3 linked regions of the Oryctolagus cuniculus genome follow. The protein of the gene in region 1 interacts with the protein of each later gene in a biochemical or structural test. Links are inferred from orthologs where the notes say so. Each region holds a gene or a part of one and is shown in the gene's direction. Other genes may lie near its edges.

Region 1 (3,647 bases):
TACTGGATTGAGTATGTTTACTTTTTCTGATTTGTTATTTTTATCTTGATACTACTTTTGTTCATGTTAATACTCATTTTGTTAATTTGTTATAAGGCTTTCTTCATCCATTATGTATTCTTTTACTACTTGTCATAAATAGTATTCTCTTAAGTAGTTGAGAAATGCTTTATTGAAGGATAAGAAAGACTGTGTGTGTGTGTGTGTGTAAAAGACCTATATTTGTTCTTTTGGTTAAGTATTGATAATGTTAGAATGTAAGAGCAAGACTCTTCCCTGATAGCCTAACCCAAGCACTTAAAATTTTTGTCTGTGTGCTAACTATGCACACATTACACTGGTTTGTGGTTTTAAGAGTCACTACATTTTCTGTACATCAATTAGTGTCTTGATGAATGCCATATATGTTGACTTATTGTGTCTGTATTTCAAAGGAATGCAAGCACAGTAAGACAGATGCTGGAATCCAAAAGAAATGCAAGTGAGAGTACACCACCATCTTTTCAAACTCCTGTAAATACAGGTAACATTTCCTAACACTGAAATACATTTTGTTAGGTGGTGAAGGTTTTCATTATTTTACATGCGTTTGAGGTTGAAATGACTAAAGAATGGGGCACATTAGTCTTAAGTACAACATTTTTAAAATTCAGAATCACAGAGAAGTATGTGGCATTCACATATCTCTAGTGTGGTAGTACATTCAAATTTTCTGGTCTTTTGATGCCTTCGTAATCTTAACAAATTATTAATTATGAAGAAAATGGTTTATGTGGGGTTATTATACCAGTTGACATTTACTATTAGTTGAAATTTAATAGACATTAAAACAAAATTCTGGAGTGTTTATTCATTTAAAAATAGTAAACCCAAAATTTGTAATGCTGAGAAAATTTTCATGAAAAATCATAATTTTTCAATAAAAAATACTGATATGAAAGTATCATTGTTGTATATTCACATATCTTTAATGTTTGGTTTGGTATATTAAAACAGCTGAAGATAACTGGATTCTCAGCTCTGTACTTGCTTTCAGTCTGTTCTGGTGTATTGGTTTGGTTGAAGTGTTTGAAAGAAATGCAGTCTCCTGTAAAGCAAAGCCACTAAGGAAGTTCATGGAAAATGCATGTTATGAAAAATGTGTATATGGATCTCAGATTTTTTTAAACCATGCTAAACTTACCTTTTAATTCAGTTACTCCATGGGCTTTTTAAAGTAGCTGCATATGTAGATGTAAAAGGTCTAGCCCATTTAGCTAATTGTAGATATTCTTTGGTACAGGCAAGTACTAGTTTTTTTAAGGTTTGTGCAGAGTGGTCCCATCACACTGTAATGGAACTGAAAAGTTGCTAACAACTCTGGAGATGGAATAGTTGTTGTAATATCATAGTGGAAAACATTGCTCACATGTTTGGTGTTGCTGGCATAAGCACACTTTGCTGCCAGTCATATTAACGTATATCACAAATGATTATTCACAGCACATAATACTTGATGAGAATAAGTGAACTATGTTACTGATTTATGATTATGTTATATTTATACTTTTAGAGTGTAAACATAAAAAAGAAAGTTTGCTGTAAAATAGTATGCCATGTTATGCCAGCAGCAGCCTCATACTTCTCATGTTTACTTAGTTTCTTGATTGCCTCAAGAGGCCAGTCAAGTGATTGGTCTTGACCTTATAGGTTTAATTACATTCTTTGATGTTCATACAACAGTGACATCTGTTTCCCCATCATTAAACAGTGTATGACTTTTTAGGAGAAAACATAGTATACAGAGGGTTCTAAACCATGTATGTTTCATGCATCCTCTGGGTTCTTTGCAGTGTCCCCCACAGATGAGGCGGGGAGACTGTTGTGCTAAGTAAGGCATTAGAAGTTTTACTCACCATTGCTTTTGCTCCATCAATGCAAGTGAACACACTGTGAATACGTCAGATATTTTCTTCTTATTCTCATTATTATTATCATGAAAATAGTTTTGGCATTGCTGAGTCCCTGAATGGTTTCAGGAAACCCCTGTACTACACTTTAATAATTGCTGCTTTTAGTGTAGCTGATTTTGAGAAGATTTTAAAATCAATAAAAAATAACCTTAATCCTATTTTAAACCCATTCCAAGGAGAATAAACACAAGTAGTTACATCAGAATTACTGTAAAACTCTAGTGGCCACAATTTTTATCTTTTCTGCACTTTGGTATATACTGTCTTCTTAATTTATCTTCCATCCTTGTTCAGTGCTGTTTTCTGTGTTGTACATTGTCAGAAGAGAGAGCTTTCCTTCATTAGTTGAGGGAATTCAATAAAACTTGGTCCACAAATACAGGTTTCTCATGATCCAAATTAAAAAATATAATGACAGAGTTTACCTATTATCTGTTGACGGTCCTGACTCTTTCTGGGTTTACTATTTGCATTTATGTATTGCTGGTATTTACAGCATTCATAGTATTTTTTACAGTTATTTTTTTTAATGTACATTTTTACTTAGTTATTTTGCTAATTACTTTGAAATGGTAAATTTCAGACTTTTGATGTTGAGATATAAATCATAAATTATATACTGTTTTCATGATATACCCAATATATATTCAGAATACTTCTAAGAATTTCCAGAATTTAAATTTAGAAAAATTTCATTATGAAAAACTATACCCAACACAGTATGTTGGATTTGTATGTATTATATTGTCTTAGCTAATAAATTAAGGTAGCTCTTTAAATATAGACTTCATTTTCTTTTGTAGTATCTTCAACCAACCTTGTCACTCCACCAACAGTTGTCAATAGTCAACCTAAATTGCAGACTCCAGCAACTTCGGGTTCTCTGACACCAGCTTCAGTTCTTCCTGCACCCAACACAGCTACAGTTGTTGCTTCTACTCAGGTGCCTAGTGGAAATCCCCAGCCTACAATCTCATTACAATCTTTGCCAGTGATTTTGCATGTTCCTGTTGCGGTGTCCTCCCAGCCTCAGCTCCTGCAGAGCCATCCAGGGACTTTGGTGACCAATCAACCATCTGGCAACGTTGAATTTATATCTGTGCAGAGCCCACCTGCTGTTAGTGGTCTTACCAAAAATTCAGTATCCTTGCCATCCTTGCCAAATCCCACAAAACCAAACAGTGCTCCGTCTGTACCCAGTCCTAGTATTCAAAGGAACTCTCCTGCCAGTGCGGCACCATTAGGAACAACGCTTGCTGTGCAGGCTGTGCCAACAGCACACTCTATTGTACAAGCCACAAGGACTTCATTGCCCACTGTAGGACCATCAGGACTTTATAGTTCATCCAGTAATCGAGGTCCTATACAAATGAAAATTCCAATCTCAGCTTTTAATACTTCATCTCCTGCAGAACAGAGTGGCACTACTACCCCAAGAGTTGGTAAGTCACTGTGTAAAAATACAAGTATGTTAATGATATTTAGATGACTCAACTTTTGGATGTGGCTAGGATTATTGGAAAAACAGAGTAAAAATAGAATTTCTTTTAGATTTTTTAGTAAATTTTCTAGCTAAGTAAGAAAAATAGTTGTTAAAATGGGATTTGAGAATGTTTGAGAAGCCACCATTTATATATATTCTTTCAGTAATTTTCCTAGTTTTGTTGAATTTTCAACTTAGGCTTTAGACCCAGC
Region 2 (4,274 bases), on another chromosome or scaffold:
TACTGTAAGCGGCTCCAGGTGCTGTGTCCTGAGCACTCGCGGGACCCCAAAGTAAGCATTTCCTCAGCCCCCACCTGCCTCCCCTTCCCTGTTCTTTGCTTCCTCCCTCAGCTCCTGTCCTTTTCCATTTCCTACCTGGCCACTCGATTCCTCCCCCAGGAGTGCGCCCCGCTCCTGGGCTCCTCACCACCTCTGCATCCCCTCCCTGCGTGTCCCTGCAGGTGCCAGCCGACGAGGTGTGCGGGTGTCCTCTTGTGCGGGATGTCTTTGAGCTCACAGGTGACTTCTGCCGCCTGCCCAAGCGCCAGTGCAATCGTCATTACTGCTGGGAGAAGCTGCGGCGAGCCGAAGTGGACCTGGAGCGCGTGCGCGTGGTAGGTTGGGTGCTGGCTGTGGCCAGGGGCCCGCAGGCCCGCAGGCTCCTGTGACTTCTCACGGCTCCCTGTGTCCTTCGGCAGTGGTACAAGTTGGACGAGCTGTTTGAGCAGGAGCGCAACGTGCGCACAGCCATGACAAACCGCGCAGGGCTGCTGGCCTTGATGCTGCACCAGACAATCCAGCACGACCCGCTCACCACCGACCTGCGCTCCAGCGCCGACCGCTGAGCGCACCGGCCCAGGCCCGCCCGGGCGGCCTGCTCCTCCGTTTGTTCGTTCCTCCTTCGTCTGTTTCTTCAGCTGCCCCCAAGTTTCTCCCTGTGCCCAGCCAGCACCTGAGTGCCCATCTGCCCCTACCAGGGGGTCTCAGACTGCGTCCGTCGGTCTGTCTCCGCTCTTGTGCTGGGTGGGACTGTGAAGTTTGCTCACCCTTGCCTCCCGCGGTTTTGTTAATAAAATTTTGAAGCAAGAAGAGGACTTGCTTGATGTGTGCGCACTGTGCAGGCTCCCCACGCAGTCCCTGGCGGGGGCGCCCACTGGCGGCACAGTGTGGCTGCGTGTCCAGACCAGCTGTGCGTGCAGCGGCCGACCCGCTCCTGGAAAGTGATCAGGAGCCCCCGCCGGCTCTCCGCGGTCAGCGGTCGGCGCAGGGCTCGCCTGGGGCGGGGCTGCCACGCCCCCCACGCCCCGGCTACCTGCCATGCGGCACCGACCCCTCCCCTGGAGTTGGGGGTCTGCGCGCCCTGGGGCAGCCAGCGCGAAGGCTCGACCCCAGCTTCCCTCCCTTGCCGGTGACTCCCCGTGGACAGCGGAGGAAATGGAGAACCCAGACCAACCTCGCTGTCCACGCCCCCTCAGGCTCGGACTGGCCCCGGCGAGCGCAGGCGCAAACTAGATGGCCCCCCGCGGGCCGGACCAGCCGCCCGGGGGAGCGAGTCGCGCAGGCGCGCGGGTGCCCGACGGGGAGGCGAGCGGCCGTGGGACGTCAGCACGCAGGCACCGCCCGCTCCGTGCCAGGGGCGCGCGCTGCTGTGGACGTCAGCACGCAGGCGCGGGAGCCTGGCTCGGAGGGCAGTGGCCATCGGGGCTATAGCGCGCAGGTGTCCTGTCGGAGGCGGGGCCCGAGAGGCAGGCAGCGGATTTCCGGTTCCGGGAACAACGAACGGCCGCGGAGGCGACAGCTACTGCTCCGGAGGAGGCGGCTGCAGAGGAGGAAGAGTAGGACTAGGCGGGAGCGCAGGCTGGTTCCGCGCCATGGGCCCGCGGGCCTAGAGCGGCGGAAGCTCCCGGCCCGGTGCCAAGCTGGTGAGACAGCCGTGGGGGTGGGAGTGGAGAGCGCTCGGGCGGAGAATGGGGGGGAATTGACGCTCAGAACGCTGACGGGGAGCAATGAAGGGCCCTGGGCCCGACGAGGGGCGGAATGGCGGCGTCGAATATGGAAAGGGAGGAACGGGGCATTTCGGCAGAGGTCGGGAAGGAATGGGGCTCGGAGCGCTGACAGGTGAAGTGTCAGAATCCTAGGACGGGGACCGAGAGGCGTGGGGGCGGCAGAATGCCAAGGGGAGATGGCGGGGCCGCGGGTTAAGGAGAGAGAAATGGGGGTGCAGAACGCAGGGCGGGAGGGAGGCTAGGACGGGGGCTTGGGAGGACGAGGAGAAAGAGCGGGTGAGAGCACTGGCAGGTGGGGTGGCATGGCGGGGGGACAGCAAGGCGGGGCGCTGGGGCGGGGAGGCGTTCGGGATGCTAGGGCAGAAGTCGGGGTCTCGGTCTGCTGAGGGGCATGCAGGATGGAAGGTGGAGGGGCAGGCGTGGGCAGCAGGGAGGAACTGTGGGCCAGAACGCGGAGAAAGAGGGAAAGGAAGGGGCCGGGGAGCTCTTGGGCTGATGAATGGGAAGAATGAGGAGGCGGTCGGAGGATCTGGAGGAGTGGGGGGCTCTCCCGGCGCGGGGGCAGGGGAAGTCGAAGTCATCATAGTGCGGTCGCCGGGTAGGAGGGCGTCAGAGAAGGCTGGGGCAGCTAACACACTGGAGGAGAGACTTCGGGAACTCCTGGGTGAAGAAGATAGGGTGATGAGGAGATCCGGGCTAGGGGACTGAGGACCAGAGGAGCGGGGTGTCAGAGGGTGGGAGGAATGCGTTCTTGGACTGCGAGCGGACAGTGGGAGCGTCCTAGGTGACAAAGGGGGATAGGGCCCTTAGGCGAGAGACAGGGTGTCCTGTGCCGAGGACCGTTACCACAGGGGGAAGACAGGTTCTTGCGTTGGCAGGGGGAGAAATGACGGACTCTGTCTACAGAGGAAAAGCACACTGAGAACAGGGAGCATCGGCGGCAGGCTGGTGAGGAGGGGGAGGCCAGAGGCACTCTGAGCCAGGGCAGGGGAGAGGAAGGTGGGGATGGAGGCGCGCTTCCAAAGACGGTCTCGCTGTGCATCCAGTGCTTGGTGCGGCCCAGACCTCAGTCTCTCTCGTGTCCTCCCTTCTCCAACTTCGCAGGCTGCTGCTGCTCTCCAAGGCCTCCATGGCTGAGGACTGGCGGGACTGCCCAGCCCTGGGCCCTGGCTGGAAGCGCCGTGAAGTCTTTCGCAAGTCAGGGGCCACCTGCGGGCGCTCAGACATCTATTACCAGAGGTACTGGCAGAGTGCTGTGCACAGTCAGGCGTGGGGCTGGGCCTGCTTCAGGCTGGGGTGTGGTTAGACACTGGCAGATTCCACATTTGCAAATTCACCTGCTTAATAAAATTTATTTGTAACTGAAGTCAACACTCAAGGTGCTTTCGTGGCTATCTGTGGCCGTACAGAGCAGTGAAAAATTGGTCGCTTGATGCATGCGTTCCTAGCTGAGGCTGAACAAGGCCTTTGTGTTTCACCTTTTGGACTGCAGACAAGCGTCCTTGCCCAGTCGACTTCCTACCACGTTTTTTGCATTTCTGGGCTGGTGATTTAAAATGGCCCCCAAGTGTGCCGAAGTCTGAGAAGTGTGTTCTGAGTGTAAGAAGACTGTGATGTGCCTTAGAGAGATAACAGTGGGTTAAATAAGCAGCTTGCCGGCAGGAGTTGCAGCGCCTTTGGCTGTGGAGTTCAGTGTTAGGAGTCCAAAATGTGGTACCTCCAGAGGAAGAAGAGGAAACTTGCTAACGGGTGGGTGAAGCTGCTCCAGAGAGTACAGCAACAGAACAATCTGTAGCACTTGATGAGGTTATGGAAAAGACGGGAAAGCAGCTAAATTCGCGGATCCACGAAACGATGACCGATAAAGCATAGTGGCCAGTATTATGAGGAGAGCCGAAGTCATGTTACCTTGTTTTAGGAAAATATTAAACCCATCTCTGCTAGCGCTGGCTGGCTTGCACGTTTCAAAAGCTGATACGACGTGAAAAATGTTAAGCTTGCATGCGATGCAAGTTCTGCAGATCGGAAGTCTGAGGAAGGATTTTTGAAATACTTGCAAAGTGTTATTATAGGAAGAGAGTTACACGGAAGAGTGGGTTTTCAGTGCCAGTGAGGCCAGCTTACTTTATGAGATCGTTTGCAAACCTGTATAACAAATGTTCTTCAAAGCCCTTGTAAATGAATCATTCAAAGACTGTGCAGCTAATCATTTGTGACAGATAGCTGTTCAGTAAGGTATATTTAAATAGCAGCACATGAAATAAGGTTCTGTTTTGACTAATTGATGAAAATGCGACCATGAAACCTTGTGTTTCCCTAGAAGCAGTGGTTTCATATGTACTTTCTAGAACATAGCTACCGTAGTAATGAGAATTGACCGTCAGTGCGTAAATATAGGAGGTAAACAACATTTACACATTTTAGGATGTGTCAGTGACACAGTGATTGAATTTCCTGTGCTCATCTGGATTTCTTTTTGTATCTGAGCTGTTATGTCCTTAGAGAAGT
Region 3 (3,647 bases), on another chromosome or scaffold:
GGATGGAAGATCTCTCTCTCTCTCTCTCTCTCTCTCTCTCTCCCCCTCCCTCCCTCCCTCTCTCTCTCTCTCCCTCGCTCCCCTGCTCTCTGAACTCTGCCTTTCAAATAAATTTTAAAAAGGAACTAGGTTTCGGCCGGCGCCGTGGCTCACTAGGCTAATCCTCCGCCTTGCGGCGCCGGCACCCCGGATTCTAGTCCCGGTCGGGGCACCGGATTCTGTCCCAGTTGCCCCTCTTCCAGGCCAGCTCTCTGCTGTGGCCAGGGAGTGCAGTGGAGGATGGCCCAAGTGCTTGGGCGCTGCACCCCATGGGAGACCAGGAGAAGCACCTGGCTCCTGCCTTTGGATCAGCGCGGTGCGCCGGCCGCAGCGCACCGGCCGCGGCGGCCATTGGAGGGTGAACCAACGGCAAAGGGAAGACCTTTCTCTCTGTCTCTCTCACTGTCCACTCTGCCTGTCCAAAAAAAAAAAAAAAAAAAAAGGCTGCAACAGCCAGGACTGGGCCAAGCCAAAGCCAGGAGCCAGGAACTTCTTCCTGGTCTCCTACCTGGGAGCTTGGGCCATCTTCTGCTGCTTTCCCATGCACACTAGTAGGGAACTGGATCAGAATTAGAGCAGCTAGGAGTCAAACTGGTGCCCATGGGATGTTGGTGCTGCAAAGGGGCAACCCAACTCCCTATGCCACAATGCTGGCCCCTCAAGTGGGATTTTGAAAGAGGAGGATTGATCTCATTATTTTTAGTCTCTGTGTTGCCTCCCAGCCTTTTACCTATGGTTCTTCTCCAAAAATTGGAAAGAATTCCGGTCTTTTTCTGCCTAATACTGTTTGAAGGCAGTGAATTAGCAGTTTCTCTCGCTCTCTTTTTTTTTTTTTTTCCTTAAAGATATATTTATTTATTTGAAAGTCAGAGATTGTCCATCCACCATTCACCCCTCAGATGACTGCAACAGCTAGGGCTGGGCCATGCTGATACCATGAGCTTCATCTAGGTCTCTCACATGGGTGGCGGGGGGCCAGTCCCTTGGGCCATCTTCTTTTGCTTTTCCCAGGAGCATTAGCAGGGAGCTGGATCTGAAGTGGAGCATTTGGGACTGGAACTGACGCCCATATGGGCTGCAGGCATTACAGGTGTTAGCTTAACCCGCTATGCCATAACACCGGCCCCCTTATTATTAGTTTCTTTTTCTTCTTTCTTTTATTTTTTTAAAAGATTTCTTTTTGAAAGAGTTATAGTGGGGGCCGGCACTGCCGAAAGCAGTAGAAGATGGCCCAAGTGGTTGGACTCCTGCACTCACATGGGAGACTCAGAAAAACCTCCTGGCTTCGGATCAGCGCAGCTCTGGCCATTGCGGCCATTTCTGGGATGAACCAACAGAAGGAAAACCTCTCTCTCTCTCTCTGCCTCTCCTTCTCTTTCTGTGTAACTCTGACTTTCAAATAAATAAATAAATCTTTAAAAAAAAATAAAAGAGTTACAGGGAAGTGAGAGAGAGAGATATTTCATGCATTCACTCCGCAAATGGCCACAATGGCTGGGGCAGGCCAGATGGAAGCCAGGAGCTTCTACTTCTCTAATGTGGGTGCAGGAGCCCAGGAACTTCGGCCGTTGTCTGCTGCTTTCCAAAGCACATTGGCAGGGAGCTGAACCAGAAGTAGAACAACCAGAACTCAAACCAATGCCAGTATGGGATGTCAGCTTTGCAGGCAGTGGCTTTACCCAGTTTGCCAGCCCCTAGTTTCTTATCTTCTTTCTCTTCTTTACCTAGGTGAAAAGAAATTTGCCTGTCCTGAGTGTCCTAAGCGCTTCATGAGGAGTGACCACCTGTCAAAGCATATCAAGACTCACCAGAATAAGAAGGCAGGCCCAGGTGTTGCCCTGAGCGTGGGCACTTTGCCCCTGGACAGTGGGGCAGGTTCGGAAGGCAGCGGCACTGCTACCCCGTCAGCCCTTATTACCACCAATATGGTAGCCATGGAGGCCATCTGTCCAGAGGGCATTGCTCGTCTTGCCAACAGTGGCATCAACGTCATGCAGGTTGCGGATCTGCAGTCCATTAATATCAGTGGCAATGGCTTCTGAGATCAGGCACCCGGGGCCAGAGACACATGGGCCATACCTGTCAACCCTGGGATACAAGGTAGCATGGGTCCAAGAGACATGTGGGAGAGTGAAGCCATGAGGCATTAAAATGCATGGTGGTGGAAGAGTTGGGGAAGGCAAACGAGAGAAGCGATGGGGTCCCGGCACCCACTTGTGTGTCATCAGTGCCTTTCTGAAGGCGGGAGACATTAGTGAACATTCTGCTGATGCCACCCTTTGATGAGTGTTTGACCCTGGTTTCTTTTTACACTTCTGACCCCAGCCTCTCCTTCCTGCGTTTCCCTTCTCAGCTGTCTCATGATGGATCCCCCCTTTCCTAAAGCCATCATGCCTTGATAAATATATATGATCATTGAAATACTTTTTAACAAAAAAGATTCTATATTATATATATATTATATATAAAAAGATATATAGAGATGCATTCACAGGGGTTGGCTGGGAGGAGGAAGGAGACCATTCTGTGACCAAAATACCTTGGTCATTTTTTTTATATTGCCTTATTTTCCTATGGCTGAGCCTTGTTGTGACACATCAAGCTTTTCTGTGGATGTTGTCTTGGCTACCCACCAGATTAAGCGTTCATATCTTCAGCTTTTAGTTTAATTATACAAACATAATGTTTTTCCTTTCTTAATTTTGTATTTTTATTTGGGATCAGCTTCTTGCACTCCTTTCCTGACTCCGCCCTTTCTGTCTGCCCCTCTCTCTCCTGGTCACTTCACACTTTGTGTTTGATAGTGATCCCTAGGTGAGGCACTTCTGTCCATCTTTTCAAGACATTAGTCCCAGCAGCAGAATGGAAAACCTTAGAACTCAGGCTGATGCTTGAGGTAGCTGTGGCGGGAGTGCTCAAAGTACTACTGACGCAGGCACCTTCTTGGTGCCGGAGAGTCAAACGCATCTCCCCTCACTAGCTGCTGTAAACCTGAAGAATCGGAAGCCTTTCTGTGGAACTACACAAGAGATGCTTTGAAGGTGATGATCTGAAATCAGTTTGCTTAAACTTTAAAAAGTGGTCAGATGATAGGTAGAAGCCTTCAGTAAGAAAAAGATGTGTTCAGAAGAGGAAGTGACTCATAGGAGTCAGATTCAGAAGTTAGTGGAGTATTTGGACTTGGGCACCATTGTCTTCCAGGGTAACACTAAGCCTTGATGTGTGGAGCTCTGAGTTCAGATCCTGAAAGGAAACATGCTTCCTCCTGAACACCCCCCATTAGTTTCTTTTCCATTCTGTTGTTAAGAAGCATCAGCCAATGAATGTGTTCCAGGTTTCCATTCTGCAGAACTCCAGAGCATGTCCTAGTGGCAAGACAGTTGTTCTTAGGATCTTTTCCCCAGACTCTTCCTTGTATGTACTTGGGTGGTTCCTAGGGGAAAAAGAAGCATGCGATCATGGGAATGATAGCCCAGAACAAAAAGAAATCTTGTCTTACCACTGGTTTATAGGAGAGATTGGGAGAAACCATCCTACTTTCTCCGTGGCCTGATTCCAGAAGAGACTGATCCAAAAATTATAGCGGCAGGGAACTCTTAGTGCGTTTG

Evidence for each region.
Region 2: the proteins of ATF7IP (region 1) and MBD1 form a complex in vitro, tested with the Homo sapiens proteins (2 studies listed by BioGRID). The link is inferred for Oryctolagus cuniculus from reciprocal best matches to the Homo sapiens genes ATF7IP and MBD1.
Region 3: the proteins of ATF7IP (region 1) and SP1 form a complex in vitro, tested with the Homo sapiens proteins (3 studies listed by BioGRID). The link is inferred for Oryctolagus cuniculus from reciprocal best matches to the Homo sapiens genes ATF7IP and SP1.

Annotation. Positions count from the first base shown.
Region 1 is NC_091440.1:112,284,890-112,288,536, forward strand, and holds part of ATF7IP (activating transcription factor 7-interacting protein 1), read left to right. Parts: intron 1-434; coding exon 435-523; intron 524-2,755; coding exon 2,756-3,394; intron 3,395-3,647. UniProt on the Homo sapiens protein: Recruiter that couples transcriptional factors to general transcription apparatus and thereby modulates transcription regulation and chromatin formation. Can both act as an activator or a repressor depending on the context.
Region 2 is NC_091441.1:27,831,412-27,835,685, forward strand, and holds the start of MBD1 (methyl-CpG-binding domain protein 1), read left to right. Parts: upstream 1-1,424; 5' UTR 1,425-1,682; intron 1,683-2,644; exon of another isoform or gene 2,645-2,714; intron 2,715-2,870; 5' UTR 2,871-2,895; coding exon 2,896-3,005; intron 3,006-4,274. Other genes in the region: CXXC1 (CXXC-type zinc finger protein 1), read left to right, coding at 1-51, 222-374, 459-605. UniProt on the Homo sapiens protein: Transcriptional repressor that binds CpG islands in promoters where the DNA is methylated at position 5 of cytosine within CpG dinucleotides. Binding is abolished by the presence of 7-mG that is produced by DNA damage by methylmethanesulfonate (MMS).
Region 3 is NC_091442.1:56,405,903-56,409,549, forward strand, and holds part of SP1 (transcription factor Sp1), read left to right. Parts: intron 1-1,767; coding exon 1,768-2,081; 3' UTR 2,082-3,647. UniProt on the Homo sapiens protein: Transcription factor that can activate or repress transcription in response to physiological and pathological stimuli.